Linked DNA regions of Caenorhabditis elegans. The protein of the gene in region 1 interacts with the protein of each later gene in a pairwise test. Each region holds a gene or a part of one and is shown in the gene's direction. Other genes may lie near its edges.

Region 1 (10,853 bases):
GCGATCTGGTGTTTGACACGACCCGATGAATTTTCAGATGATTATATGAGGTAAGCTTTAGGAAATTTGACAGAAAAAATTGTGTAAAACTATGGTGATGTCTACAAGTTTGAATACTTTTCAATATTCTAAAAATTTCAATTAAAAAGCGGCCGACACCTCGCGAGGTGTAACTCGGCAGGGCCCTTTCGGAATTTTTTTTGTCGATAAATTCGGTCAATCGGAAATTTTGAACTCCGGCAATTTGCCGGTTTGCCGATTTGCCGGAATTTTTCATTTTCGGTATATTGCCGGTTTGCCGATTTGCCGGGATTTTTCATTTTCGGCACATTGCCGATTTGCCGGAAATGTTTAAAGGGATTTTTATCAGACAGAAACACTTAAAACTGTGCCTTTTTGAACATTTTTTCCCGTTTTCTTTAGGTATTTTCATAGAATTTGCTTACTTTTTCAAAATAGATTTAGGAACAGTCATAGGGTGAGTACAATTTTCATAGGGTGAGTACACATTTTTCAAAATAGATTTAGGAACAGTCATAGGGTGAGTACAACACGCCGGTTGAAATTGAAATTCAGAAATTTCAAAAAAAAAGTGCAAAACCACAATTTGCCGAAAATTGCCGGCAATTTGCCGCTTTGTCGGCTTGCCGGAAATTTTCAATACCGGCAATTTGCCGATTTGCCCATTTTTCGTAAAGAATTTTCTTTGTTTATATTAATAACTTATTTTTTCTAGAGTAGTGCTGACCGAGCGCAACTTCCAAAAATGGCGCAAGAACATTTTTTTTTTAACTTTTTGCTCAATTATACTACTCAAGAAAAATACTATTGAATAGGGTCAATGAAAAATTATTTGCTAAAGTTCCTTTTTCTTGAGCTACAGGAGTTTTAAATAGCTTGCTAAAATTGGCTCGCGAGGTGTCAACAAGAGGTGTTCGGCAAATCTTAAAATTGGCCGAGCTCGACAAAATCGGCAAATTTGGCAATTTTGCCGCACATCCCGCGAAATAATTTTAAACAACTAATCGTAAAACATGGATAAACCTGGAAAAAAATCATGAGCAACGGATTATTTTTTTAAATTTGTTTCTCTATAGCTTCTGGTTTGTTTTAAAAAAATCAAATAAACCAAAAACCAATTTCGTGGTTTTTTTTCAGAAATGAAATATTTGAAGTATACGAATTAGATATTTCTACCCTCCCACGACTACTCATAGTTCCTTATGATCAAAATGGCAACGTAAGAATCAATAATGTGCTATACCTTTGCATTGGAACATTTCTACTCTCTTCTCAATACCTAATAATTGTGTATTGCGGGCTTCAAATGCATTTTCAAATGCAGAAAGAGCTGCAAAAGTTTTCTGTCGCCAATCGAAAACTTCAACAGCAATTTTTCAAGGCGTTGGTTGTTCAAGTTACGGTCCCGACCATAACTTTCGTTTTGCCAGCAATGCCACTTTTGCTAGGCCCGTTGTTTGATTTGAAGATGTCTTTCAAATCTGGAGTTATTTGTGCATTATTGGGGATCTACCCATTTATCGATAGTATACTGTTTATGTTAATTGTAACTGAGTACAGAAAACATCTGGCTACACTTTGCAATTGCTTTGGCAAGAAAAATCATGTTCAGAATTCGCAATGTTTAACTATTTGAAAATGTTTATGTATACTTGAAAAAATTCCAAATAAAATTCTTAAATATTTGCCGAACGTCTACTGTCCATTTTTATAATGTTTTCCTGCAAAAATTGTATCACAAACCGCATGTGACGTCACACTACATAATTCCAAGGCGGCTGCGTATTCAGGAGCACAACCGTGTATGGTTTACCAGAACTTACCAGTCATAAACGCGCTCCATTGCTACGCGAGAGAGAAGGTGGAGTGTTTAGAGAAATTTACAAAAAGGGTGAACACCATCGATTCTTTTGGAACATCATTTTTAGTAATGTCTTCTAGTTCTCAAAATGTAAGTATATTCTATTTTTGGTTTTTTTTAAATCAAATCTTTGTTACAGATAAAATGCGGATGGAATGGATGCGGCGACAAATTCAGCTCAGAACTTGATATGAATATGCACGTAATGATGAATCACTTGATGATATTGGAATATGGAGAATTTGTGATGAATCGGCGAGCAGTGAACCGGAAAAGAGCTCGAGAACTTGCCAGAGAGGTATGGTTTTTTTTCAATTCAAATTTTATTTTTTTCCCGCTCAAATGAAAATTCCCCCTACAAGAAACTGCTGCGACTTGCTCAAAAATCGATAATTAATTATTCTTTGATTTATTATTTAAAACATAATTTGTCTTGTTTTCAGACGTTTTTAAATAAAAGAACATTTTTGTTTTTTGTAACTCTTTAGTCAGTTTTTGGAAAAATGTCTGAAAAATTTAAAACTATGTTTCAAATGGTAGATCAAGGGCACTTTCTAATTGTTAAATTTGAAAAAAAAATAGAAAAATTAAGAAAAATTCTACAAATATTTTAAACATGTGTATTTGATATATTGAGACTGTATTATGTTATTTAGCGAAAAAAATTAGTGTTTCCACAATTTCAAAAAAAATCTGATCATAATTTTTTTCAGGAATCCATGGAAATTACAAGCGAGTCGTTACACAATCCCAATGCTCTGCGGGCAGTCAAACGTGAACCTGTTCTAGAAGTCCGCGAAGTTGAGGTTCCAACTGTGAATGTAGCACCAGTTCCCGCACGACTTCCGGACTTTTGTCCACCGGCTCGAGTTCCAGAGCATCTCCAGCTTAACGGCTTTGAAGATCAGCAAAGGGATCACGAAAGTTTGCAAATCAAAGCAAATATTATGCCGGTGAGCATGCCAAGTACTGCAGATGGGCCATTAAATCGTTTCTCGCCCGATCTAGTTGAAAACGATGCAGGATCAGATTCATCTTTGCAAAATGGCAACGATCAGGCTCAATTTGATGCTCAGGAGTATCAAAATCAGACAGCAGTTACTGTAAGTTTGAACATTTTTTGAATAAACAACACTTTTCCTAATTGTAAATATTTTCAGCCCCTAAAGCTAATCGAAATCATCGACGAATTTCTGGATCGACTAAAACCGATGAAGCAGCTTGGATTTGTTCGACCACATAAACCTGTATACTGTATTGTGTGTTTGAAGTATCAAAAATCTTTCCACACTTGTAACTGGAAACATACACCCGGCGAGGATCGGGTCGCAGAAATGTGGTATAGGTATGTTTAATATTATCAATTTGGGATATTTGGCTTAAGGGCTTAAGTTTAGGCTTAGGCTTGAACTTCGGCTAAGGTTTAGGCTTTGGTTTCGGCTTCGGCTCAGACTTGAGCTCAGGCTCAGACTTAGGTTTGGGCTTAAGCTTAGGCTCAAGCCTAAACTTCGGATTAGCCTCAGGCTTTGACGTAGGCTTGGCGTCAGTGGCGAGCGTCAGCCTAAATTTTGGTTAAACAAATTTGGAAGTTTTCTCGAAATTTTTGTAGCTTTTAAACATTTTTTTTGCTGAGAAAATCTGCGTTCAATTTTTTTAAAATTTTCAGACGATTTGGCAAAGAGAGACCAAACGGTAAAACTCAGCTAATGAAGGAGCTTTGCGATATCAGACAATGGATCATACAAGAGGGAGGACTTGGAACTTTCCAATAAACTAATTTATGAAGATTTTGTTGTTTAATAAAATTTGTTCACTTACCAATTTCAGCGTTCATTTTTCGATGTCTGATCAATTGGTCAGTGATATTTTATCAGTTGGATTTTTTGTACGCCTTGATTTAATTTTCGGGGGAAACGTCATAAATTTAGGCGCGCCTGTGTAAAAAAAAAGTATAAATTTCTAAATTCCCAAAAAAAATACTATCATTCGAAAAACTGCACATTAATCGGTCTTATCAGTAAAAGTCAGCATAGTCTAACACATTTTTTTTCACACTTTTGTGGTTTTTTCTTTTAATTCCTGGAAAATTTCGCCGGTACAATGGAGCAATGGAAAGTGATGGTCCTGATTTGTATGTATGGAGCTGTAAAAGAGTTCCGGCCCACCGAACCGTACATGTATGAATATCAGCATACAGTTCTGAATATGTCAGAGCAGACTTTGAATAGTCAGGTAATTTTGAATAAAAAACTCTGTCGAATTTTATGAAAATTGTAAATTACTGTTTTTATTAATACAAAAATTTAAAAAATTTAAAAAAAAAACATTAGGGAATTTTTTCTAGAAATTACTAGAAGCAATCGACAAATTGCCGGTTTGCCGATTTGCCGTAAATTTTTAATTTCGGAAAATTGCCGGTTTGCCTATTTGCCAGAAATTTCCAATTCCGGCAAATCGCCGGCTTGACGTTTGCCGGATATGTTTAGAGGATTTTTTTTATAAGACGGAAACCCTTAGAACTGAGTCTTTTTGAAAATTTTCCCGTCTTCTTTAAAAATTTTCATAGAATTTGCTTACTTTTAAAAATAGATGTAGGAACATTCAAAGGATGAGTACAATTTTGCCGATTGAAAATTAAATCCAGAAAATTTCTAAAAAAATGTGCAAAACCAAAATTTGCCAAAACTGTTCGGCAATTGCCGTTTTCAAGGCAAATTGGCAAATCGGCAACTTGCCGGTTTGCCGATTTGCCAGAAATTTGCAATTCCTGAAACTTGCCGATTTGCCAGAAACATTCAATTCCGGCAATTCGCCAATTTCCCGATTTGCCAAAAAAAAATCGTTCGCCGCCCACCCATGTAACATTTGTTTAAACAAAGTTAGTGAATTCAAAAAAGTTTTCCAAAATTTCGAAAAACTATTTTTTTTCTTACTCGAACCCCCGTCAGTAGACACCGAATTTTTTCCAACGATCTTTATACAGCGCTTCGCAAAATTCCAATTTTTCTAAATATTCATGAAAAATGCTTAACTTTTTATTAGTTGAAATTTATTTCAGGTGTACCCTATTTGGACGTACAGCTACTTGATCACCCTGATACCAGCGTTCCTACTCACCGATGTATTTTTATATAAGCCTTTGCTAGTTTTCGAAGCGTTTTCCTATTTTCTGTGCTGGGTCATATTTGTATTTGGAAAGAGTGTCTGGAGTCAGCAAGTTCTTGAAGTGTTCTATGGATGGGCTACTGCAACGGAAATTGCGTATTTCGCGTATATTTATGTGAAAGTTCCAAAAACCGAGTATAAATCGTAAGGTCTTGTACACTTGGTGCCAGGGGCGTCCCATTATGGTTTGATCTAAAAAAAATGCGGGTATTTTTAGTCCAAACTATGCAAATTCAGTTGAGAACTCTTCGTCTCTTCTCCCGCATTTTTTGTAGATCTACATAGATGAAACCGAAATGGGACACGCGGACACCACGTGCTCTATTAAAAGTATGTACCTAGATCTTCCAATTTCTAAATTTTCAGAGCAACCGCTTTTACAAGAGCAGCACTCCTCGTCGGTCGATTTCTAGCTTATGCTCTAGCTCAACTCCTCATTGGCCTTAACTGGACATCGTATTCAACTCTTAATATTATCAGTTTGGTCGCCATGACAATTGCGGTATTCCTGGCATTAATATTACCTGGTGTTGAGTGGAAGGAAGCTTATGAGAAGAAGCTGGAAGATAATAATGTTCAAGGCAATTTAAAAGAAATCGTTGATCAGTCAAGTTATATGGATTACCTTAGGATGTTCTTTGTCGGGTTGCGGCATAATTTAATGGCGATTTATCGCAATCCGCTGATTTTGAAGTGGTCTGTTTGGTCGGCTCTTTCGAGTTGCATTTTTTATCAGGTACATCACGGGGTTCTGGCAATTATCATTGCATTTTTCGCGCTCCATTGACAATCGCCTGCCGAACAGTGCGTGGGAAAGTCGTGTACTCCACACGGACAAATACACTTAGTTTTACAATTAAAACCGAGCCGCTACGCGACATGCAACGCGCCGTAAATCTACCCCGGTCTTGGCCGAGTCAAAACGGCCTAGTTCGGCAAATTCTTGTTTAATATTCTGCTAACTTTCGGCTTCATTTTTTGGGAAAATGTTCAGAAAACATATGATATTTTGACAACTCAATAAGATTATATAGACTTGCTGGAAGCTTGAAGGTTTAAGCTTAAACACAAAGCTTAAAGCTTGATCTCAAAGCTTATGCTTTAAGTTCCTTATATATTTCTCAAATTCCAGGTCACAAACTACACCCAAACTTTATGGGGTACACTTCCGGAGTCTGCGAATCGTTATAATGGTATCACCGAAGCCCTCGTCCCACTTCTTGGCATCCCAGCTGACCTGATCACCCGCCAGCTCAACGTGAATTGGAACCGATGGGGAGACCTTCTCCTTGCTGTTGGCTCCATCGGACAAGCCGGCCTACTTTTTTGGATGTCACAATCTCATCATATCGTGGTGTTATACCTGAGTTACATATTCTATAGAGTCATATACCAGTTGACCACTACGATTGCTCAGTCTACACTGGCCTTTTCCCTGGACTCTAGACTATTTGGCCTACTCTTCGGGATTAACACATTTGTTGCTCTCCTTCTTCAATCTATTCTGACCGCTGTTGTCATAGATTGGCAGAAGCTGGATATTAGGCCACAGGTTTGTTTTGAGTATCTGAAAAATTTAAGAAACAGTTTTTTTCAGTTTGTGGTCTATTCATGTTATCATCTTGTCGTTGCATTTGGATTTGCTATTATTTTTGGAATTTGGGCGAGCAGGCGGTTTTTCAAAACGAGTACTAATTGATTTTTTGTTAACTATACTATAATATATCTAAAATTTGGGAACACTATTATGGATGAAATGAGGAAATATTTTGACGCGGAACTCATTTTTTCTAATATCAGAACAAAACACATGTTTTTAATGTTACATTTCGCAAATTTTGTGATCTAATTGGAACTTTTATCAAAACATAAAATATTAAAGTACATCCCTTTAAAAATGTTTTGACCTTCTACAATTTCTAGTATAATTTGACTACAGAGAGGGCGATATAAAGTCTACATTTTCTGTGAACTTCTGCATTTTCAATTAATTAAAATAACAGACTCGTAAAATGTCGGCTGCTGTGTATGTGTAAAAATATCGAGAAAAATTCACGGATTTCTGGCCATTTTGGCTCGGCCAGATCTGGAGTAGATTTACGGCGCGTTGCGTGTCGCGTCACGGCTCGGGTTTAGTTGTAAGACTAAAAGTATTTGTCCGGGTGGAGTGCACGACTTTCTCACGCGTTGTCCGGCAGGCGACTGTCGATGGAGTGCGAAAAATGAAAATTTCAAAAGGGATAATCATTGAGAAAAGATGGAGAAAAGAATAAAAGTTGTGAATTTGGCTAATGTAATAACGTTCATTCATACGACAACGTTAAAAGAATTTTGTAATTGATTGCTTTTATCTGTCACTATTATAGTAGGAGAATTTCTTTGCGGTTTCCAACACAATGAAAATGTAAAATCTCGATACGGCTTGTGAACCAATATCATTACAATCGTAGACACACTTCCATGTAGTGACAAGACCAAGTATCCCAAATTGTTCAATTTTTGGTTGTGGTACCAAAACATCATAAAGCAAATAAAAGTTGTAAGAGGTACCAACACAATTCCAGCTGTAGATATTGACTGAAAAAAATTAACTTTTAAAAAAGATATAATCACCTAAAACAGAGCAATACTCACCTGAATACTAACCGACTTGAGAAATTTTCTATGAATTGCCAATGTCTTTGCGGAAAGTGTGACCAACTTTTTTTTGGTTAACAAGTGATAAAGTGTCATCGAGAAAAATGTAATAATTGGAACAGCCAAAAATAAGGATGCAAATGCAATGCAAAGTAGTGGTATTACAGGACTAATGCTCAACACAAAGAGCTCTTCATCGTTAAATGTAAATTTTGGCAAACAAGGAAGTTTAGCCAAGATAAAGCTTTGAGCAGTTTCTTGCTCGGGAATAGTTAGGAATGGTGGTAGAAATATAAAAGGTATTGAAGTATAGACAGCGATGAGGTAGGCTTTTCTGATATGTTTCCATGTGGTTTTATGGGCAAACAGTTTGTAAAATCGATTTTCGTAAATTGAGAGGACGGCGGCAATCATAGCTGAAAAATTGTGTAAATTCAGTGGAAAACTATATTTTTAAAAAGGCAAACGATTTTTTCCGGCAAATCGGCAAGTCGGCAAATTGCCGGAATTGAAATATTCGGCAAATCGATAAACCGGCAAATTGCCAATTTGGCGATTTTGCCCAAACATTTTCGGCAAATTGTATATTTGCATATTTTTTGGAAACTTCAGAATTTCAATTTCAATCGGCAAAATTTTATGCATCTTATGAATGTTCCTACATTTGTTTCGAAAAGTTAGCAAATTCTATGAAATTATCTTTTAAAAAACGGGAAAAAATTCCAAAAAAAAAAACGCAGTTTTAATTGTTTCCGTCTCATAAAATAATCCCGCCAAACACTTCCAGCAAATATATTATCCGGCAAATGGTGAATCGGCAATTTGCCAAAAATAAAAAATTACGGCAATTCGGGAAACCGGCATACGGAAAATTGGCAATTTGCCAAAAACAAAATTTTTGGCAGATCAGCAAATCGGCAAACCGGCACTTTGCCGATTTGTCGGCCGAAAAAATTGCCGAACGGCAATCGCAGCACTCCCCTGACTTCATTACATTAAAAATTTTTGAATGTTATTAAACTAACCTAAAACAAGCGTAACTCCTACGTAAAATGTAACTGCTGGCGATTCAAGTAAGCCCAGGTCGAACCCAGAAATTGAAGGCAAATATAAGAATGGAATACCAATAAAGCATAGAAACAAATCAGATAGCGTATTCCAAAAGTGTAAATTTAGAATCAAAAACTGCACAGGCTTCATCTTGGCAGGAGTTTGGAATAAAATGCAATACGCACCATATATTGAAAGTGGGATTTCAATTATAGTTATAATGTGACAAGAAAATGCCACAAAATTCGGAGATGCTAGATAACTCGAATCAATAAACGGTGATATCGAGCAGTTATTCATTTTCTGAAAACCAAGCTAGAAAATAAGTTTTTCTCTTTCTTTAAAAATGTTTCTTCTTTAATAAAAACGTGTTAAATATGTTTTCCAATTAGCATTATGACACACGTGTTTTTCAAGAAAATATTAATATGTACGTTTTATACCTAGTGGGAGAATTTTTTGTTAACGCAGAATCGGTTGTGTTGACAATCGGGCTAAATTAACTTTTTCTACGAAAAATTTGCTTTTGGCGGCGTGAACACGAACTAGACACATTAGTGAACAGAATTCTAGAAATAATGTTAAAAATTATATTATGATTGTTTTTTTGTGATTGAACACCTTACATGTACAGGTGAAGTGTCTTTAGCGGGAAAACTTTTCTAACTACTTTTCCTAACTACCTCCAGCAATGCTCGAAATTGCTCGGAAAAATTTCAATTTTTGGAAAATTTGACACCGAATGGTATGTTTCACATATCGATAGTCAAAAATTTTATGGATAGGACATGCGACAGTGATATGGTTTTCTCAGAAAAAGTGGCAAAAAAACAGTAATTGCCACTTTTTGACAGTCAAAAAAAAATTTCAAAAGTTGTTTGATAAGTTTGATATTTGGTCATTTTGGCACTATTGTAGAAACAAATATTAAATCAAAAATATCATTTAAAATAAAAATCAAATAATATCAAAAAAGTTCATAGACTTTGCCACATATTACACAAAACTTTAAAACTTCATTATCAAAAGATAACCCAAGAAAATTTATTCCGCTTGACTAACCCTACTCACTCGGTTGCCTAACATCTTTTCAAACTTTTAATCAAAAAATTTTCAAATCAATATGCAGAACTGCATATCAGGTGCTGGAATTCCAGATACCAGATATTTGTCAAGTCCTAATTTTATTTCATTTACCTTACACTGTCTAACATTTCTTGAAATTCCCGTTCTATCATACGGTGCTTATTGCATTTTGTACAAAACTCCGAGCAGAATGAAATCTGTGAAGTTGCTCATGTTAAACTTGCACTTTTGGAGTTGTTTGTCGGATCTTGTGATTAGTTTTGTTGGTCTACCATACATTTTACTGCCTGCGCCCGCTGGTTATGGGCTTGGACTTCTGGATTCTCCGCAAATATTGGTTTATCTGATGGTGACATTTATTGCGGGTTAGTTTAAAATTTTTTGAATATAACTGTAAGATTTTTTTTTTCAAATTTTAATGATTTTTCTGATTGTGAGTAACGAGTGACGTCATTTTCGACACTAATGAGTTTTCTGGCAATACTGATTGGTTGTTTTATTCATTTTTTATCGTTCATATTGTAAAACATAACTTGTCACAAATGAGACATTTTTCCGCGGAAAAAGTGACATTTTTTGTAATTTTAAAGTATCGATTTTCAATTCAGCCTTTTTTTGTTGCAAAATTTTGAAATTGAAAATAAAAACAATATTTTTTTAAATAAAAAATTTTGAAAATTTTTTGATTTTTTTACAAAGTTATATTCGGCAATATTGATTGGTTTTTTTGCACACGGGTAACGGAAAAATATCTTTTGAGAAATTGTGACGTCACAGCCCTTTTCGATAAATTTATTTTCAATTGGAGCCCTGATTCTACAATAAATAAGAAATAATGTCAATTATCACAAAATTTATTTGAAAAAAAAAATTTCACGAAATTGGCTCTTAATTTGCAAACACAATTAGTCGAAATGCGCTGTGAAATCAACATTTTTCAAAAAATATTTCCCCGCTTTTCGTGTGCAGTGGAGCAATGGTATAGCCTGGCACAACGTCGATTCATTTTTTGTTGAAAAATATAAAACAAAAT
Region 2 (13,190 bases), on another chromosome or scaffold:
AGCTGTACAAACTGACGTGTGTACGTAACCTATAACAATGGGGGATTTTTTGATGGATATATGTGTAAATAGTGGGATGAAGCAAGTAGGAACTTTTGCAACATGGTATTATGAGATTGGTGACAGGGGTGAGCGGCAATCGGCGATCGGCGATCGCCGATTGCCGATAAGAAAAATAGAACTCGGCGATCGGCGATCGCCGATCGCCGAAAGGAAAAAACGGGTCGGCGATCGGCGATCGCCGATGAAATTTTATAGTCCAAGATAGACCCCTCTGAAGAAGGAAAAAGGTATATTTTCGGACTATTTTTCACTACTTTTCGAATTTTAAGGTATCAAGGAGTGCTTTTCGTTGCCTAATATTCCTGTTTTTATAAAAATTATTTGAAAGAGCTCTTAAAATTAGGATTTTAAAATTGAAAAAAATTAGACGCACACTGATCGGCAATCGGCAATCGGCGATCGCCGATTTTTTTTTTGGCAATTTGTGATCGCCGATCGCCGAAAAAAAAAAAGTTTCCGCGATCGGCAATCGCCGATCGCCGATTTTTTTGGGCGGCTGCTCAGCCCTGATTGGTGATGAATCTGAAATCTCATAAAATCAGTTTCAGTTTCATCCCTGCAGAAACATCCCTACCTTTTAGGCGACCGGAACGTGTGCCCACCTTCCAAATTAATTCATACATACCTGTAATCTGCAGAGTTTCGACGTTATTTTAGGTAATTGTACAAGGTCGAAGCTGTTTTAATTTCATGCCTTTTTGGCTTTCAAAAAATGGAAACTTCAGCTACACCGTATTGTCAATCCCTTTAAACTACAATTATTTTGTCGGCATTTTGACATTCTCTATATCAACTATACCATAAATCATTGTTCCCACTGTCTCGAAATCTGACATAAATTTCAAATGTTGTTCAGTATTGTCTATCGAATTTGGAATTCCACCAAAAAACTACCTATCACTCCGAATTAAATCAAATGAAACATTGTCACGTTCCGTTTGGGTTCTTATCGTTTCTCCAAATATAACCTTTCTCTCGGGACAGCTAGTGTAAATTTTTATTTTTTTTTGTTTGGCTGAGGTTGTTTCTGCTGGAATGTCAAAGAAAAACCGACCATATGACCCGTGGTAGATGATAAATAACACTCGATTTTCGCCCTTTTTTGTAAGGTTTTGTGGTTTTACTGACCGTGTCATGTCATGAGACTCACGAGTCAGATGTAGAAAGACACTTTTTTTATCATCGAAAAGAACTCCCTGGTAGAAAGGTAGCAGTACAGCTAGACAAATAATTCGATCCCCCTAACTGAATGAAATGTTTGAAATTGAGAAAGATGAAAGGTGACGACATAAAGAGATGTTCATGATGATGACGGTCATGACATAATTTCACAACTTTCCAAAAAAAAACCACAATTGAACAATCTAAACGGATTAACGGTTTTCCCTTTTTTCACCAAGTTTGCTTGACAATGGCAAACACACATTTACCATTAAAAGCACATACAGCATATTTTTTGAAAAAAGATGAAGCCAGCCTACCTACGTGCCTACTGTACAGCTTAAGATTATGGGGTTCTTGATTTTCCTTACTTTCCTTACTTACTCGGCATTCAAAGGCAACTTCCTGCCACACTTTGGCAGCTTATTTAGTGCCACTAAAATAAGTTGCCGAATTGCTGGCAGGAAGTTGCCGAGTTGTTGGCAGGAAGTTGTCACGTAGTGGCAGCAAGTGGGAAAAAACGCTCAGCAACATCTAAATGTTGGCAGGAATGTGCAAAAGTTTGGCAGGAAGTTGCAAGTAATCAAAGTTTGGCAGAAAGTTGCCATAAAATGGCAGAAAGTTGCCTCTGAATGCCGAGGAGCGTTTTTTCCCACTTGCTGCCACTACGCGGCAACTTCCTGCCAACAACTCGGCAACTTCCTGCCAGCAATTCGGCAACTTATTTTAGTGGCACTAAATAAGTTGCCAAAGTGTGGCAGGAAGTTACTTATAAGTGTAATTTAAAACTTTAACAATGTTTAGTAGGCACGTGCCAGGTAGGTATGTTTATGTACCTACAAGATGACCTGGCCTAGTAGGCTAAACAATTCGGACAAACAAACGCACAGACAGACTTTCGTTTAACCATACCTAAATGGATGATCCCTCATAAGTATCTGCAGGTGACAAGTAAATATAGACACTAACGCACACACATACATGTATATAAATAAAAGTAAATTTGATTTTTGAACAATTTAGATCTGTTTCCCTCCAAAGTGAACATCATCTGTGTGGGTTAAAGGTGTGTGATTGGAAAGTTTTGGGAGATTCAGGATGATGATTGTGCAAATATTTAGCCAAAGGTCATGAGTTTTGAACCAGAGAAGCAGGAAGAAAAACTGGAGGCTCCTGCTCTGTACTCGGACGATTGTTGTAGTTGCACCAAGACACATTTATAGAATATGGTATAGTTCTTTGAATTGTGAATTTTGAACATTAAAATAATATTTGAAAGAAATTAGTGCGCAGGTGTTGGAGAGAAAAAGGTTATAATATATTGAAAGGCAAATATGGAAAAGAGCAGGTGCCAAGTAAGGAATCGAAGTAAGAATGATGTTTCGGGAAGTTGGTTGGGAGCGGGTGTTCAGGGTAGATAGAAGTATCTAAGGCCTGGGTAGGCGCAAAAAGGCCTACCAGACTGACAGAGGCATGGTATAGCTGAAGACTCTTGATCCATCACGATTAAAATCGAGAAATGAATAACATTGCGGTAAAATGGATCCCTTGAACAAGATTCACAACATGTTGTGTTCTCTTAAACTCAAGAAAAGACTTTTCATGTATTCAGATCTGTACGAAATTCAAGAACAGTTTGTATTTTTAGCTCTTTACTCCCCTCCACATCCTTCTCACGAACTCTCCTGTCATATTACTTTGTGAAACTTTCTTTCAAATTTCAAGAAAAAAGTGGCTCTTCTCTCATGTCGTCCTCCTCATTTTCACTTTAAGCTTTTTTTTTCTCCCATTTCATTACCACCACATGTTCATCATCATCACCCACTCTTCTCATCTTTGGCCCGCTTCAAACCAAGCACATCTTGAAATCCGAGGCGTCGAAACAACGATGTAAACTAAACTATTTCATGAGAATGTTTCCGCCTTTTTTCACCCATTTCATGCTGCAAACTTTTTTTTTCTAAAAACGAAACATGTGGTGTGTTCAGTTCTGTCATAACCCCCATTGAAAAGTGAAATCAGAGAGAAAATGGATAAGAGAAGATAGGAAGTGTTCAGGTTGTCCTGTGGAATGCATACAGAAATTTATAAATAAATACTGGCACAGTCACATGACAGATGGGTAAATAGTTAGTATAAGTTAAGTCTCGCGGGTTCTTGATCAAATGAGTATCATTTGATTTGATGATCCAACATTATGAATCAATTTTTCCGAAAGTCCTACCGTATTCGCTCACTATTTCATGAAAGCAAAACCCAAGAAAAGTCATGGAAGACAAAAGTAAGTCTGAAGTAAAACTTTCTTTAAACCTTCTAATATTGACAGTGCAACTTTATCAAGTTCTAATTACATTTACCTTCATTTTATTTGTATTAGTGTTCAATTGTTAGAGGGGAGAGCTCCTGACTGACGAAAGGTCAACATTAGAGTAGTGGCGGCCGATGGGTGGGCGCCTATAGGAGCATCTGATAATTGTTTGTACGGACCGTCGATTGTGTAACTTCGGATCATACGACGTGTGTGTGACTCCCTCCTGCAAAAGTTCGGAATGTAAAAATTAATAGGCAAAAAACCACATGAGCATGTGATTTGGCATCCAATTTTATTGACATCAGGAGGGGGAAGACCACGAACCTCTTATCACCCCGGAAGCCAGCACCAGCTGATTGCGTCGTGTAAACATTCAAAATTTGAAAATGACACATCAAAATACGAGTGCATTCGATTCAAACAATACATAGATCAATAGACATTTCCCTTGTTCAAGATCATGTAACATATATAATCCTTTCCGTTGAGAGCCCCGTTCTTCAGGAAACACCGGAAATACATGATTTACATGAAGGGGGATTTAGACTTGCCAGCAGGAAATGCGGATAAAAAATTGGGGATAAACGATGCCACGGCATAAAAAATTGAGGAGACATTGTATACCTAGATTTTGAATTGAATTCTTCTATATCCAGATATCCAGACCTAATTCACGATGAGCTTCTTTTCATGAGTAGCTCTCTCTAATTTTGTGCACTAACTCTCATTCTTTTTGAAGAAAATTCAGATTTCATTGTTACACCATTATGCAAATCAAGTGTACATTCAAATCAGAAATTTCATAGTTTCCCCTTCTTTTCTCTCTATCATACGAACGACTAACAAATGTTCCGGAATATTTTGCAACGAATATTTTCTTCTTCAAATTCTAGAGTTCTTATGGTGAGTCTGACGTGCGTCACTTGGACACCTGAAAAATCAGCAGGCTCTCTTACCAAATCTCCAAATCTGGTGGGTTGCATTGCACTCTTTCTGTTTGCCGCACATCGGCTTCCCCCGGGCTTCACCTCCTTTCTCTTCTATCTCTCTGTATCTCTACCCATATCAGTTTCGTCTAGCTGTATCTTGTTGTCTCACACTATTTCCCGAATTGCCAGCCGTTTTTTTGCAGACGGCACACGCGTGCGCGGCGCCCCGTGTTTCTTTTTTTGTGCCCCCAGTTCATTTGGCAGAAACGAATGGAACGACAAATGAAGAGAGGGGAAGATAGAGGCGTCCTCAGGCAGCAGCGCGGTGCGCGTGCAGATCAGTCAATACTCGTACACCTGTATGCGTCTCTTTGGCGCGGCGCCTCAAAACCTCTCAAACCCTTCCGAACCTACGCCACGCCCATCCTAGGCCACTCCCATCATCACAATGTTGAAATAGTGCTGGCTCGAGAGAGACGAGTAGAGAACGAGAGTGCCTCCTTCGTTGAGATTGGCCTGGTGTGCACTTTCAGACTCATTCCGACACACTCCAAGCCTGCAAAGAGGTGTGTGTCTTGTATTTCCCTGCTATTTTCTACAACCTCTTCTCATTTCGTTGACTTTTTGTGCTAATCATGGCCGATTCGTCATCATTCTTCTCATCGGCCTTCAGCTCAGCGAAGAATCTTATTCCGTTCGCTAAGAACACAGAGGATAAGCCTGTCGATGCCGACACTGCTTCCGATGCTAAGGATGCCAAAGATTCAGCTATTCAAGAAGCCGTTCAAAATGCTTCAGCTGCTATCAATGACGTCTTCACCGATGCTGTTGATAAGCTGGAAGAGGTGAAGGATACCGTAGTTGAGCAATTTTCCAACGGTGATGAGAAGAAGGAAGAAGCTGTTGTTGAAGAGAAGTTTGATTCTGTTCATGTTGGAGTTGATGGAGAGACTGCTGTACAGGAAGCTAAAGAAGAAGTCAAGGAGGCTCAAGTTGTTGTCAAGGGTGTTTTGGCTGATGGAACTCAGATTGTCGAAGGTGTTACTGATGTCGCTGGTGAGTCGGATTTATTGAATATTCCAAATTCTGATCCTATTACTGTTTCAGAAGCTCCAGTAGCTGATGAAAAAAAGGAAGAGACTGTAGCAGCTCCTCTTGATTCTGCAGCTCCAGTTGAAGAACATAAGGAGGAATCTCACTCTTCTGAGCACACTGAAGCACCAGCTCACACTGAAGATTCAATTGTTCAAGCTGACCCAGAAGCTCGTATCGTTTTCCAAGGAGTTCTTGCAGATGGCACTCAAATTATTGAAGCTGTCTCGGCCAACCCACCTTGTATTCAAGAAGAATCTGCTCCAGCTGCAGCTGTATCTGAAGAGGTTGGCGAAGCTGTACATGTTGTTCCAGTTGATCAAGCACCAGAAGCACCCACATCGGAAGCACAGGACGCTGCTCCAATCGAGGAACATGTTGAAGTTGTGCACGTGGCTGAAAATGCATCAACACCAGCTGCTACGGATGCTCACGAGGAGACAAAATCAGCTGAGGAGCAAACACCAGTTGTTGATGCTTCTCCAGCTCAGGAGATAGTGAAGGTTGAGGAGCATGAACACAAGGAAGAAGCTGCTCCAGATGAGTCAGCTCCAGAAGCCGCTCATGATTCACATGTCGAGGAGACCGCCGCTCAAGTCGTCGATGAAGTCATCGAGGCTGTTCATGTTTCTGCTAATGAATCGGCTCCAGAAGAGCATAAAGAAGAAGTAGCCGCTGCAGCTACTTCTGAAGATCAGAAAGAACCAGCTCCAGCCTCCGACGAACATACTTCTGAATCAGCAGTAGAAGGAGCCATTGAATCCGTCCACATTGCATTGACCGAATCTGCTCCAGTTGCATCCGATGAAAACACAACTGAAGCTGCACCGGGAACTGTTGAAGAGCACAAGAACGAGGTTCATGATCCAGTTGATGGAGCTTCATCCGATGCTCCAGCTGAGGACCACAGAGAGGCTGCTGCATCATCTGAGTCTGTAGAGGAACCAATCACAGCTGTCCATGTAGAAGCAACTGAATCTGCTGCTCCAGCTGACAAAGTTCATGAAGAAACCAAAATTGATTCTGCTGCTGAGACTCATGCCGATGCTCCAGTTGTTGACGCTTCTCCAGCAGAAGATCAAGCTTCGGAAGTTACTGAAGCTCCTCATGTAGAATCAGCTAAGTCTGCACCAGCAACATCCGAAGATCACAAGGAAGATGTCGCACAAGCCACGTCTGAACAAGTTGAAACTCAAGCTCCAGCCGATGAACACAAAGATGACGCATCCCCTGCTGAGCCAACAACAGTGCAAGATGTTATTGAAGCCATTCCCATTGTCTCTACAGAATCGACACCTGCGGAACATTCCGCCCCAGCCGAATCAGCTCCTGCTCTAGCTGAAGAACACAAGGATGAAGCAGCTCCATCTGAGCCAGTTCAGGATGTTCCAGTTGAAGAGGTCATTGAAGCTGTTCACATTGCTCCAGCAGAATCAGCACCGGCTTCAGTTGAAGAAGCCGCACCATCAGAATCGACTCAAGCTCCAGTTGAAGAACACAAGGACGCTACCACAGCAGCCGATTCATCTCACGAAGAGCCAAAAGCCGAATCTGATGCTCCAGCTGCAGAGTCTGTAGAAACTGCTCCAGTCGAGGAACATAAAGATGAAGCATCACCAACGGCGCTAGAATCAGTTGAAGATGTTATTGAAGCTGTTCACGTAGCCTCTACAGAATCAGCACCAGCTCCAGTTGAAGATGCCGCATCAGCTGACTCGACTCAAGCTCCAGTTGAAGAACAAAAGGATACTGCCGCAGCAGCTGAACCATCTCACGAGGAAGCACAAGCAGATCATGCTGCATCCGTTGAAGATGTTATTGAAGCTGTTCATATCGCTTCAAATGAATCAGCACCAACAACAGAAGCAGCTCCATCTGAATCTATACAAGCTGAAGATCATAAAGACGAAGCTGCTTCCACAGCCGAACCAGCCCACGAAGAATCCGTTACAGTAGTTGAGGCATCACATAAGGAACCACAAGCAGAGTCTGCCGCACCAGTTGAAGAAAATATTGAATCCGTTCACGTAGCCTCCGAAGAATCTGCACCAGCCCCATCCGGAGATGCCGCCCCATCAGAATCAGCACCAGTATCAGAAAATCCAGTAGAAGAAGTTGCCGTAGCTTATCACGTTGAATCAATTGAATCCGTCCCAACCGACGCCCAATCAGTAGAAGAACCAGTTGTTCAACAACACGTAGGAACAGTAGAAGCTGCACCAGAAGCAGCAGTCGACGAGGAATCATTCGACGTCGTGCATGTTCACAGTGACGCCGCACATCCCGAGACGGCTACACCAGAATCTGGAAGCGAGGAGACATTCGAAAAAGTCGAGCATTCACAAGTGCAAGAGGCACCTTCTTCTGAAGAGCATAACTCTTCAGAGCCTGAAATTGTGGAAGACGTTGTCGAGAAGCAAATCGTCGCCGCAGTTGCTTCAGCTCCAGTAAGTTGTTTTTTCCCATTTTTGACTATTGAATCTATTTGAACTTACCGAACTTTTCTTCTTCCATTAAAAAAAGTTTATCTCTCATTACTTTTCTATTTTTTCTTTTTTCGAAACCCGCTTCCTCCATCTGTCATTAGTTTAGCTTTGAAGTGTTGTGTATGTGTTTGCAGCTTTCAAACACTGAAAACACCTGACTTTTTCAAAATTTCACTCAACCTGCTGCCCTCTTGACATCCTTGACATCACATAGTTATGAGTGGGAGGAACAGCTTTCTTGCATCATCTATCATAAGAGTTCAGGGGTCATTGTTTCATACATCGAACATCATCACTTCAGATGAATCACACACAAACTACCAATTTGTCGCCCTTTTACGAAATTTGTCGGTTGATTCAATTTCACTCGAAACTATAGGTAATTGTAGAGGCGAATTTAGTGAAAGAGGGTGGGAAGGCTTGAAACCGGTCCAAATTTCACCTGCATACATATAGTGTGCGAGAGGGCTTCGGTTGCGGGCACGTCAAAAATCTGTTTACTTTTTTCAAAAAATTGCCTCGGACTTTGCAGAGTTCAAATGCATAACCTGAAGTTTTTTAGGATTTTAATGTTGCATCCAACTTTAAAGCTTAAAAGCTTAACTTTAAAATTTTAAAAGACCATAAGTCAGTTCATTTTAAAGATATCAATAAAAGACTAATTACAAAACGATAGAAAAAGAAATAAAAAATATTTTGCCAGTTGACTATTTTTGAAAAAAAAAAATTGGAACAACAGGCTGCAATAAACTATTCTGTAGAGTTCCTCCCTGGTTTGATACTTGATATTTTAAGGCTATATGTTGGCCATCTTACTTTTTCCGATAAATTTTCAGATTTCTAGATCGATCAGAATTGTATCGTTGTTGTTTTTTAGATGAAATTGTTTTGTTTTTCTGTCGCTTTTACTCTCTTTCTCTCAAATAACAACATAGGCTATTCTTCGCGGTGTGAAAAGAACCGAATGATGTTGGCACGCCCAAAGCCGATATCATTCACGCGTATGGGTATCTGCCATCATCTCTCTCCCTCTCAAACAATTCTCGTTTCAATTGACAAATCGAAAAGATACAGTTTATTGTCTTTTTTCGGAAATTGAACCTAGTTTTGCGTAGAAATGTGTAATAGTGTAGTAGGATTGCTGTGTCTAGTTCATGTGTTTCAGTAAATTTAATAATAAAATTGAAAATTTCGAACAACAAAAGACACATCAAAAATGAGTCACTTTTTGTTTTTTTCCCACATTTGATGTCTGCCTGCTATCTCTTTTCCTATCCAAGTGATAAAAATTCGAAAGATACACAATTTTTCTTTCAATCTTTTTCGTCTCCTTCGGAATTTTCTCTACGGTTAAAAAGCGGAAAACGATGGGTCCCATTCTCCATTTCCATTTCAATTTCCTGTGTTCTTTTTTCTGCCAATTCCATTCCATTTTCGTTCGAAATTTGAAGAATGGATTCAATTGAACTGAAGAAAAACGATGAAGAGAATGGGCGAAAAAAGCTAATTTAGTTTTGCAAACTTTTCTTTTCCAATTTTTCAATTCACTTCCAAATATTTCTACTGTATCTGACTTGACTTTAATCCATAATTTTTTATAATTTCAGGAAACTCAACCGGAAGAATCACCGAAAAAACCAAGAAAACTTGCTGAAATGGCCCATGAGTCCGCATTCGTAAGTTTTATTTTTTAGATCTGATCTTTTTCTTCTTCTTTTTTCATTCTATCTGTCAACACTTTTGCCCAATTTATCTCAATTTTTAATTGGCTTTCTTTTCCTTTTTTATCTCAAGTCATAAAAAAACGGGCGGGATACAAATTCGTGTTTGTTAGTTGTTGCGAAGACGACGACAAATATTTTTCCTGTCAAGGTCAATATCACCTTGATAAACATTTTTGGGTGATGTTGATCGTGAAAACCCAGAATTTCGTGAAAAAATGACGGATTGAAAACGTAAATTGATAGTGATAAATTGAGTAACAAGGACGAATTTCAGCCAGTTCCATACCGTAGCAAGCTCGTCGAGCCATTTGAGCCAGGACAGACACTTATTGTGAAGGGAAAGACTGGAGAGGATTCCATCCGGTAAGTATGAAGAACCATCTTATTTATTCACAATAAAAAAATATATGTGAACTGATAAAATATTCAGCTTCACCGTCAACCTTCACACCAACACCGCCGATTTCTCCGGAAACGACGTTCCACTCCACGTTTCCGTTCGTTTCGACGAAGGAAAACTTGTCTTCAACACCTTCTCCAAGGGAGAATGGGGCAAAGAAGAGCGCAAATCGAACCCATACAAGAAGGGAGACGACATTGACATCCGCATCCGCGCCCATGACTCCAAGTTCCAGATCTTTGTTGATCAGAAGGAGGTGAAGGAGTACGAGCATCGTGTGCCACTCTCCTCCATCACACACTTCACTATCGACGGAGATGTTCTTGTCAACTACATTCACTGGGGAGGAAAGTACTATGTAAGTAAAAATAGATGAATTATACTCAGTAACTCATACTAAACTAATTTCAGCCAGTTCCATATGAGAGTGGGCTCGCCGGAGAGGGACTTGCCCCAGGCAAGACTCTTACTGTCTTTGGAATTCCAGAGAAGAAGGCCAAGAGATTCCACATCAATCTTCTCAAGAAGAACGGAGATATTGCTCTTCATCTTAACGCTCGTTTCGATGAGAAGGTATATCAATGATTTGAAGATCCGTGTAATACTCTAAAATTTCAGCACGTCGTTCGCAACTCGTTGATCAACTCCGCTTGGGGAAATGAGGAGCGTGAAGGAAAAATGCCATTTGAGAAGGCTGTTGGATTTGATTTGGAGATCCATAACGAGCCATACGCATTCGCTGTAAGTTATTTTTCAAATTAGATGTAGACACCAAAAAGTTGTTCTTTTCCATATTATCCAATATTCCAGGTCACCGTGAACGGAGAACGTTTCGCATCGTATGCTCACCGTCTCAGTCCTGATGAGGTCAATGGACTCCAAATCGGAGGAGACGTTGAGATCACCGGAATCCAACTCGCCTAAATGTTGCCCATTTTATTCTGCTCCAAGCCTCCCAAAAATTCGTTCCCCCAACCGCTCTTTCTCTGCAGTAGCTCTCCCCTTCAACTTTAAAAGAAAAATACTTTCGCTTTTGCGCGCAACTTTCAAAAAAAAAAGAACATGAATTGTAAATTTCAAAAAATTTTCAAATGTCAACTAGTCACCACCCTAATCACTGTTGCTTCTTTGTGAAATTCTAAATTTCGCTTGATTGTAAATCTTAAACTTATAAATACACACTGCAGAATAAAATCATCCGAAAACCACAATCACGTTTAGAATTCATCCAATAATGTTCAGGGAATATGATAAATATGGCTTATACGGAACCGCACGAGCTGATCCGGTCACCGTCTCGTTGGAACCCTAAAAAGTTTCCGCGAACGGATTATAACCTACGATTTCAAAGAGAGATCACAAAAAATATACAAACTGATATTTTTATTCATAAACATAAATGGGCCCTTCCATCTCCTTGTCCTGATCCGAACATCTACGCTACTCTCACTTCTCCCTGAAACCAAAATATTTCCAATTTGAAAAGTTGCTCATTTCCTACCTTCACATCCATTGCACCAGATGTTGTCACAGTGACATCAGCATTTTCATTAATCTGAGCTTGGACAGTCTTCTTTTGGTGTTTCTTCTATAATAAAACTTTGTTATAATTATCCAGAATTAAGAATTACCGAAATAAAACGTTTTCCTTTGGCTCCATGCGACAATTTATGAGCAGAATTATCATTCGAACTGGTAATATTGCAACTGGACCTGCAAAAAACTTGCTCCCGGTGAGGCTCGAACTCACGACCTTCAGAATATGAGACTGACGCGCTCTCATAGTGTCTAGAGTAGAGTACTTACAATTTGGTCTTCTTCAATTTTCCCAGAGCCCGTGCCACCGCTTCTTCTTCTGTCTTCCTAAAGTTCATCTTAACCATCACTAGTGGTGTGAAGTGCCATGAGCCACAAATGCACATTGCACAGTTGATAATGGAAGTGAAGACGATGATGGAGTCGTAGAACAAGCTCAAAAGGCCATACTCGGAATATTTGGTGAATGTGCTCTTAAAGTGACGACGGAATCCTGGATCCAGATGCTGGTTTGCAATTTGGAAAAGTTTCAGCGAAGCAGCAGCGAAGTAGAGAAGAGTGAGGAATACCAGAAGTGCTGAAAACGAAATAAAATAAGAAAATAGTAGTTGTATATCTGATAGGTAACTTACCACATTTTTTGGTAAAAATCGAAAAATAGACCAAGGAAATCACCAGGAACATCACACAAGTAGTAATCATAAATGAAATATGCACCAAACTATCAGCCATGTGAGCATAAGCTTCCGATAGGTAAATATACCATCCGACAGTTGTACACCATTGGAATGTCTATAAAATAGTTGTTGTTCAACTTCAATCAAGAGATTACTTACTGCGAGAATTGCAGTGGCAGAAACCACATTCAAATAGTGACGACGACGTTCGATGAGCTCACGGATTTCAGTTGCATCTTCCGGATATTCTTTTAGATCGCTTAAAATGTTTATGAATATTACCAACTATGGATGGTAACAGCTCTAAATGAAACCAACCTCATTTCGTTTCGAAAGTCAATCGTTTCACTGTCTCAATGTTAAAGTTGAAATAAACTTTTTTTTAATGAAACTTATGAGTACGTGGAATTCGATTTGTTCTTTTGTGGAAAAATTTGTGAAAGTTCACGTCACACCTGAAACCGATAACAATTTTTCAACGAAGTTTATGGGATGAAAAAATAGAAAAAAGTTATCATTTCTTTGACGAAAGTGCAGCCAACTCATCTTGCGTCCAGACTCTGGGAGAAGGATTTGCGATCCAATTACTACTTGTTTTGGTAAAACTATTACGGTCGACATGCTGACCATAAGATCCGACTTCATGAATATCCAAAACTGGAGTTACACAGCATTCTTGGCCTGAAGAAATGCGATGTTCAAAATTAGATTAGACCATATATTTGGTTTTGTTTGCTTTGCCCTGGTATTTCAATAAAGTGAAAATCGACTATGAGTTTCTACTACCTTTAAAAATGTTTGCCCATTTATC

What was found.
Region 2: the proteins of folt-2 (region 1) and lec-2 interact in a two-hybrid assay, tested with the Caenorhabditis elegans proteins (one large-scale study listed by BioGRID).

Annotation. Positions count from the first base shown.
Region 1 is NC_003283.11:2,868,608-2,879,460, reverse strand, and holds folt-2 (Folate-like transporter 2), read left to right. Parts: upstream 1-3,860; 5' UTR 3,861-3,982; coding exon 3,983-4,114; intron 4,115-4,940; coding exon 4,941-5,191; intron 5,192-5,413; coding exon 5,414-5,783; intron 5,784-6,179; coding exon 6,180-6,599; intron 6,600-6,644; coding exon 6,645-6,746; 3' UTR 6,747-6,996; downstream 6,997-10,853. Other genes in the region: str-39 (Seven TM Receptor), read left to right, coding at 1-50, 1,159-1,657; F37B4.10 (C2H2-type domain-containing protein), read left to right, coding at 1,952-1,972, 2,022-2,180, 2,596-2,985, 3,043-3,227, 3,549-3,654; srh-243 (Serpentine Receptor, class H), read right to left, coding at 7,355-7,624, 7,682-8,100, 8,710-9,034; srh-241 (Serpentine Receptor, class H), read left to right, coding at 9,858-10,185. UniProt on the Caenorhabditis elegans protein: Unlike folt-1, does not appear to act as a folate transporter.
Region 2 is NC_003280.10:10,007,793-10,020,982, reverse strand, and holds lec-2 (32 kDa GBP), read left to right. Parts: upstream 1-4,799; 5' UTR 4,800-5,099; coding exon 5,100-5,520; intron 5,521-5,571; coding exon 5,572-8,003; intron 8,004-9,649; coding exon 9,650-9,718; intron 9,719-10,040; coding exon 10,041-10,129; intron 10,130-10,196; coding exon 10,197-10,524; intron 10,525-10,577; coding exon 10,578-10,739; intron 10,740-10,784; coding exon 10,785-10,907; intron 10,908-10,976; coding exon 10,977-11,090; 3' UTR 11,091-11,375; downstream 11,376-13,190. Other genes in the region: ZK892.5 (uncharacterized protein), read right to left, coding at 11,602-11,622, 11,668-11,754, 11,798-11,879, 11,973-12,279, 12,335-12,494, 12,539-12,638, 12,698-12,702; CaiB/baiF CoA-transferase family protein ZK892.4, read right to left, coding at 12,894-13,060, 13,166-13,190.